Linked DNA regions of Cricetulus griseus. The protein of the gene in region 1 purifies or fractionates together with the protein of each later gene. This does not show direct contact. Links are inferred from orthologs where the notes say so. Each region holds a gene or a part of one and is shown on either strand. Other genes may lie near its edges. The genes, in order: Wdtc1 and Cul4b.

The links.
Region 2: the proteins of Wdtc1 (region 1) and Cul4b purify together in Homo sapiens (affinity purification with mass spectrometry; 4 studies listed by BioGRID and IntAct, counting the BioPlex papers as one, with this or other methods). This does not show direct contact. The link is inferred for Cricetulus griseus from reciprocal best matches to the Homo sapiens genes WDTC1 and CUL4B.

The regions. Positions count from the first base shown.
Region 1 is NC_048595.1:19,981,716-19,985,531, forward strand, and holds part of Wdtc1 (WD and tetratricopeptide repeats protein 1), read left to right. Parts: intron 1-941; coding exon 942-1,177; intron 1,178-1,981; coding exon 1,982-2,153; intron 2,154-3,226; coding exon 3,227-3,419; intron 3,420-3,816. UniProt on the Homo sapiens protein: May function as a substrate receptor for CUL4-DDB1 E3 ubiquitin-protein ligase complex.
Region 2 is NC_048604.1:28,554,919-28,558,734, forward strand, and holds part of Cul4b (cullin-4B), read left to right. Parts: intron 1-1,053; coding exon 1,054-1,226; intron 1,227-2,481; coding exon 2,482-2,634; intron 2,635-3,816.

The DNA.
Region 1 (3,816 bases):
CTGTGAACTGTGCCGTTAGCCTTATGATAGGCCCACCCCAGCCCAGTTGGAAGTGGGGGAGGGGGGCTTCAATTCCAAACACTGAAGAAAACCAACAAATGCATGTCTCTAAAGAGGAAAGTGGCCCTCATTGCTGCTTGACTGTACAGACGAGAGGCAAAGAGGCAACGGGGGAGGCATGCCTCCTGTCTTGGCTCAGCGTAGGAACATGAGGGCTTTTCCCTTTCCCCTCTCCAGTAGAAAGCATCTCCACTTCCCTTTATCCATACTTTCCCTTTGGAGAAACGAGTAGAGAGGATTTGGAGCTCCTGGCGAGCACAGCCCCCTCACCATCAGCTTCCAGAGAGCTGACTTTGCCAGACAGCCAGGCCCCATCCTCCAGCCCCAGGAGGTGGAGGCCACAGCTGCTGCAGATCAGTCAGCCAGGACAGAGGGGGGTCTGGCTGAGGGAGCACTGCCTGCTGGTCAGACCCTGAGCCCCCGGCCTAGCACTTCTGGCTTTTCCAGACCACAGAACTGTCCTTGAGGGCCCCCTGCCTTGGACATAGCTTTGAAGGCCAGCAGGGGGATTTGAGGAGGTGGATGAAGGAAAAGAGAAGGAGGGCTTGGGGAGTCTAAGGTGGGCAAGATGCCAAGCCTTCTGCTGCAGAGCTGCGGGTGCCTGAGGTGAGCTGTGCACAGTTGCCGTCTGTGCCCGGCAGAGGGCAGCCCAACACTGCTTTTTACTGTCTCAAACCTCAGGGTTCCTGGCTTGCTCCTTAGCTTGCTCCATCTCCCAGGGAGGGAGTACCGGGCTAAGCCAAGGCTTCATTTCCATGTCTCCTCACTCTAAAGTCTGTTAGAGGTGAGCTGGAAGTAGCCACAGAAAATGGAGACTGAGTGGGAGCCTTGTGCTTGCTACATGGCCTCACCTCTAAGCTGCTATTCCTCTATCTTCCCAGGGATGGTGACCACTATGACGCCCTCCGGGACTGCCTCAAGGCCATCTCCTTGAACCCTTGCCACCTGAAGGCACACTTCCGTCTGGCCCGATGCCTCTTTGAACTGAAGTATGTGGCTGAGGCTCTGGAGTGCCTGGATGACTTCAAAGGGAAGTTCCCAGAGCAGGCCCACAGCAGTGCTTGTGATGCATTGGGCCGGGACATCACAGCTGCCCTTTTCTCCAAGAATGATGGTGGTGAGTGCTGAGCAGAGGTTGCTGTGGATTTCTTCCTTAGGGCTACAGGATCCCGAAAGGACGTGGTTCTGTGTTCCATCGGGAAGCCCTGGCTTCAGATGCAGATTCAGAAAACCCTAGGGCCTAAGACATAAGACAGTCTGCTGATCCCCGAAACCCAGTTTCCACACCTGAAGGGACGGCAGCCAGCACCTCCCATTGAAAGCCTCTGTTGAGGGTAGTGAGAGCATTCAAGATGCCAGGTACAGAAGTCATCTGAGCCAGTCAGGCTATGTGGACTCCAGCTGGGCCTTCCCACCTGTTTCCAGACTGGGCCGTGGCAGCTTACTGGGCTGAGGGGCAAGTGGTATTTGTTGCCTTTGTTTCAGTCTTGCAAGAGTGGCAGACACGGTGGCTAGGGCATCTGTGATGCCTTAGTTCTCAGCTCAGCTCCCCCGGGTAGAACTGTGTGTGTGTGGCCATGCATACAGCATAGCCTCCAGACCAGTGCCACCTAAGCGCACACAGAGCCTGCCCAGTTCCTCTTGCTAGAGTTGTAGGGAGAGCTGGGGTGTGGTAATATGGACTACAAACATGGAAAACGGTCTCGCTGGAGGGAGATGCCTAGCGCAGATTTGTTCATTCAGAGAATACTGTTAGGCTGAAAGCAGTGGTGCTTATCCATGCAGCCTTCTCAGTTTCTGGAGTGAGGGTGGAGGTGGGCAGCCACATGTCTCCAGCATTGGACTGCAAGCAGACAGAGCTAGAGGAGCCAGTGAGCATGTGGGGGAAAGCCTCTCACCTCTCCTTGATCTCTGCCTCCAGAGGAGAAGAAGGCAGCTGGTGGCGGTCCAGTTCGCCTCCGCAGCACAAATCGCAAGGATTCCATCTCAGAGGATGAAATGGTGCTACGGGAACGGAGCTACGACTATCAGTTCCGCTACTGTGGCCACTGCAACACCACAACAGACATCAAGGAGGCAAACTTCTTTGGCAGGTCTGAGGCCCGTATCACAATTGGCAGCAGGAGTTTGTGGGCTGTGGCCACTCATTGCCTGGCCCGCCTTTGTGGCCTGCCCTTGGGTATCTCTGCTAGGCTCTGTTTGTCTGTTCGGTGAAGCCAGCCATGTACCGCTCAGGAGTCACAGCAGACTGCCCTGAATGCAGCATCCAGCACTGTGCTGGAGCAGTCTCCTCTGCCCCTCCCGACTCTGTCTCCTATCCCAGAGCTTGCTTGCTTTATCTGGGCAGTTGGAGCTTTTCTCTGCTGCTGAAAGGGGAGGCAACAACTGTCAAAGGCTGGGCACCTCAGACCACTGTGCTTGGAACTGTGCCCTAGGTACTGAGGGACAGAGCCTGTATTCTCAGACACTGCCACCCTAAGCCCCATCCTTCCTTCGTTTATACCCTTTGGGTAGGTAAGGCACAAGGACATAAATCAAGCAAGTCTTCTCTGCCAAGATGAGGGCTCACAGTTATGAGGCCTGTGTTGTGGGTGGACTGTAGGATTTGATAGCTGGACCCAAGAAGTCTTGGAGTTCTGAGTGAGCCTTAACTAGATGAGGGTGTTCTTAGAGACCTAAGCGATGGATACAAGAGTTAGTCCAACACCAAGGAGGTAATGGTGTACCTTGGGGATACTGTGGTACCATCTTGGAAGGACCCAGAGAATCACTGATATTGGGTGTTTTGTTGTTATTTTGTTGGGGTTTTTTGTTGTTTTGTTTTTCTGGACAGGGTTTCTCTGTGTAGCCCTATCTGTCCTGGGACTCTCTGTAGACCTGGCTGGCCTTGAATTCACAGAAATCCACCTGTCTCTGCCTTCCGAGTATTAGGATCAAAGGTGTGCTCAGTCCTCTACCCCAACTGATGTTGAATTTTCATACAGTAATGACTAGTACCTGTAGTATGGAGGAGGAAGACCATTTGCCTAGGAGAGTTCTGAGTCAAGGGTAGCTCCTTGAGTGTGGGGGACTGAGTGGTCCCAGGCTTCGCCGTTTCCCTCAAGCCTTTACTTGAGGCTTTAGGCCAGTCTCCCACCTGACCTTCCTGCCATTTGTCCCCTGCCAGCAACGCTCAATACATCGTCAGTGGCTCTGATGATGGCTCCTTCTTCGTCTGGGAAAAGGAAACCACCAACTTAGTCCGAGTGCTCCAGGGGGATGAGTCCATTGTCAACTGCTTGCAGCCGCATCCCAGCTATTGCTTCCTGGCCACCAGTGGCATTGACCCTGTTGTGCGACTCTGGAATCCACGGCCAGAGGTGAGGACACAGGCAAGGTGGCCAAAGCCAGACAACAAGGAGCGTAGGGACTGTGTTTAGAGCCTCGGGCTGAGCTTCAGTGCTGGGGAAGGGAATGAGCCATATAGCCTAGAAGCTGCTGGGAAGGTGGGAACCCCGGGCCCAGGAAGTCCTAAGTACAGTGGGGCATTTCTGGGGTGAGACTGGCTTTCACAGTCTTGGAACATCTCCTTGAGCTAGATGTGAAGGTGAAATACCCATCCACCAAGAGCAGGTATGCAAAAAGGAAGACAGGACTGGACCAGCCTCTCAAGAGAGTGCCCTAAGCTCCCCAGAGGCCTTTCTCTTCAGAAGCTGCTCTGAGGTCTGACTCAAGTCTCAGTGAGGTCCACAGACTTTGGAGTCTGAAAACCTTAAG
Region 2 (3,816 bases), on another chromosome or scaffold:
CATCTATCTGGTCTTCTGAAAGACCAGAAAGTACTCCTCAGTGGTGAGATGTCTCTCCAGCCCCCTCCTGTATTTCTTTTGTTTGTTTTGTTTTTCAAGGTAGGATTTCTCTAACAGCCCGGCTGTCCTGGCACTCATTTTGTAGACCAGGCTGGCCTTGAATTCACAGAGTGAATTCCCAAGCGCTGGGATTAAAGGTGTGCCACCACTGCCTGGCTTCTCTGTATTCTTAATAATGTCAAAACCAGTAAGTACCAGTATGTAGTGCTAACAAGAAGTATGTTAAGAGAAGCTAGAGATTATTGTGGAAGGAAGTGGGACTTGAGTTAGGCCTTTAAATTTTGGTTGGAGAGAAGGCATCTGAAATAAAGGAACTAGTATGAAGAAAGGCTTGGGTAGTGTAAGTTGGAAGCATGAAAAGTTTGTAGCTTAGAATGGTGAGTTATAAAATTCAATAGGTAAGATGTATAAATAGACTGATGAATACAGCTGAAACCTGAGCTATAGTGACTTAAAGGAAATAACCTATTTGCACAACTTACCTGGCATTAGTAGGGCCAGCCACCCGAAACAGGAAAAGATTCTAGCCTAGAAACTGTAAAGATAATTGTGATATGAAGTTCTAAAGGGCTTCTAGTAGAACGATTCCAACAGCAATGGAATTACTAGAGCCATATGGAATGAAGGAGAAGGAGGACTTAAAAGATGAGTCTAGGGGTTTTCATTGAATTAGGTTAGTAGTAGTGTCAGTAGCAATGAAGCAGAGGGTTAATGGAGAATAGAACATACTGGAGTGATAATAAAACAGTCAAATGGTATGCCCTTTTAGTGATTGACTTTAGAGAAGGGGACTGTTACATCAGAAATTTTAGTAGTTGTCTGCATGGGGTAACAAATGTTTTTAGAAGACAACTAGAAAAATATGTTACTGGATAGCACAAAGAGCAGGTGTTGGTGATATGGGGAAAAAAGAATTTAATAGAGAATGTTTATAAATTAAATTGATGTTGAATGTAGTGTTGTGCATGCTGCTAAGCATTATTTCTTCTTCAGAGGATGGAGAATTAAGGAGAACCCTGCAATCACTAGCCTGTGGCAAAGCTAGAGTTCTCACTAAAAATCCAAAGGGCAAAGATATCGAAGATGGTGACAAATTCATTTGTAATGATGATTTCAAACACAAACTATTCAGGATAAAGATCAATCAAATCCAAATGAAAGAAACGGTAAGCCTTTTGCTCTCTCGTTGGACTATATTAGGTTTATATGTGTTTCTAGTAGAAATTTACAGACTACAAATTAATATTATGTGCAGCCAGGTGGTGGTGGCTCACTTTAATCCCAGAACTCGGGGAGGCAGAGGCAGGTGGATCTGTGTGAGTTCACGGCCAGCCTGCCTGGTCTATTGAGCAAGTTCTAGGACAACCTCCAAAGCTACAGAGAAACCCTGTCTGGAAAACCCAAAAAAAAAAAAATTATATGTGCTTGAATGTTACGCCTCATGTGTGTCTGCACCACATCAGGCCTGAGACCCATATGCCAGAAGAGGGCAGTGGATCAACTGGACCTGGAATTATAGATGGGTGTGAATGGTGCTGGAATGTAACCCAGGTCCTTTTAACTGCAGAACCATCTTTCTAGCCCTGAAATTTACAGCTTGTTACTGTTAACATTTCCTGTGCCCACATCTAGCCTAGTACATTTCAATGTTTGATTCTATGTTTCTTTTTGTTGAGGAGTAAACATAATAGGGTTGACAGTCAACATAGTTGTTTGGTTGTTTTGTTTTGTCAAAGGCTCCTGACCCTTGATGCCCAAGGTTGTTCTCTGACATCCCTAACCGCACTGATATAATGCACATACCCCCACACGTTTGTAAACTATCAACAGAATGCTAAATAGCTACATAATCTTGTACATGGCCATTGAAACTTTTAAAAAAGTTCTGTATCTGAATCTTAATCTGTGATCTTTTCCTTAAGATGAATTCATGAAAGTAAATTTTTGGATCAATGGGTATGAACATTTTGAATTTTAGGCAAGGCCAGAGGACAACCTCCAGTGTCATTCCTTAGGAGCTATCCACCTTGTTTCTTGTCATGGTCTTTTACTTGCCTGGAACTCACTAACTAGGCTAGGCTGGCTAGGTATTGAGTTCCAGGAATCAGTTTTTACATGAGTTCACGAAAATCTAAATTTAAAAATCAGGTCCTCATGCTTGCAGGGCAGGCACTTGGTCAACTGAGTCTATCTCCCCAGTCCTCAAAGGTGGTATCTTTTTTCTTAACCTGTATAGATACTGATTTATTTGTATTGATTGGTACAGAACAGTGTGATTAGAACAGAAAGGCCCTATATGTGTCAAGTTTTTTTTCTCTTGTGTCTGTATTTATCAGGTCCCATTTAGGTAACACTGTTATGTCCCTAATGTACAGTTTGTGTTAATAATTAAGTTTGACTTCATTTGAAAACTCTTTTTAGGTTGAAGAACAAGCAAGCACTACAGAAAGAGTATTTCAAGATAGACAATACCAAATTGATGCTGCGATTGTCCGAATTATGAAGATGAGGAAAACACTTAGCCACAATCTTCTTGTCTCAGAGGTCTACAATCAGCTGAAATTTCCAGTAAAAGTAGGTGTTTCTGTGTCTCCATACTGAACTTGTTATAAATGAAAAAATACATTTGATTTTTAGACAATAATCTTGCAAATATAGATAAAAGGCTTAAAGCCATTTAGAAGGACATGAATTTATTTCCTATAGTCATACATACAGTTCACAAAAGAGTGTTGTTGGTATATGTATACAACTGTGACAAATTGGGAAACAATTTACAAAAGCCCCTCCCTGTACTTGAAAGTTTAATGAGTAAATATGACTTTGAAAATTTTGAAGTTAATTCACTATGTATCTTTAGAATCTTCTTTTCTGGAGATAACTTGGCATTTGACATATTTGGTTATTAGATTGAGTTATATCTTGTTTAGTTACCTTATAAATGTTTCTCAAATCTGTTACAGAGGCTGCTGGCTGTATTTTAGTGGTAAAGTAGTTTTAGTGCCTTTGAAAATGTCTAATAATATTTCTAGTAAACTGAAATTGGTCAGTGTATTGACATGTTCCAATACAAATGTCCAGCAATATAGGTATTTATAGACAGTGAGGTGGTGTACTGGACTATTCAAAATTTTAAAAGATTTCTAAACTTTTGTAATAAACATTTGGTAGAAGTTGTATAGACTCCTGGCTGTTAGGATTCCTAGCGCTTTGGATTTTGATAAGGCATTTAATCTTGCTGAGCTTGTTTAGAATTGATAATTATACTTAGCTCCACCATTTTTTAAAGATTCATTCATTCATTCATGAGTGCTCTATCTGCATGCACACCTCTACACCAGAAGAGGGCCCCAGATCTCATTACAGAAGGTTCTGAGCCACCATGTGGGTGCTGGGGATTGAATTTAGGTTGTCTGGAAGAGCGGCCAGTGCTTTTAATCCCTGAGCCATCTCTCCAGCTCCCTCGCACTATTATTTTGAGGCTTAAGTGAGATGGAAAGCACAAAACACGTAGTACTAAGTTTGGTATGTATGTAGGTATGTAGTAGCTATTACTTTTAATATTACTTTTAATAAGGTAGTCTGCTTCTCTAAACCTCATGCCTTCTCATTACCACACTTGCTCACATGCTCACCTAGTCATTTCATCTCCAGCAAGAGTGCTTACTGATGTTAGAATGGAAGAGATCACTCACTATAACATTGATCATAATTAAACCAAAGCCATTTGATATTTAAATCTCAGGGTTGTTAAAT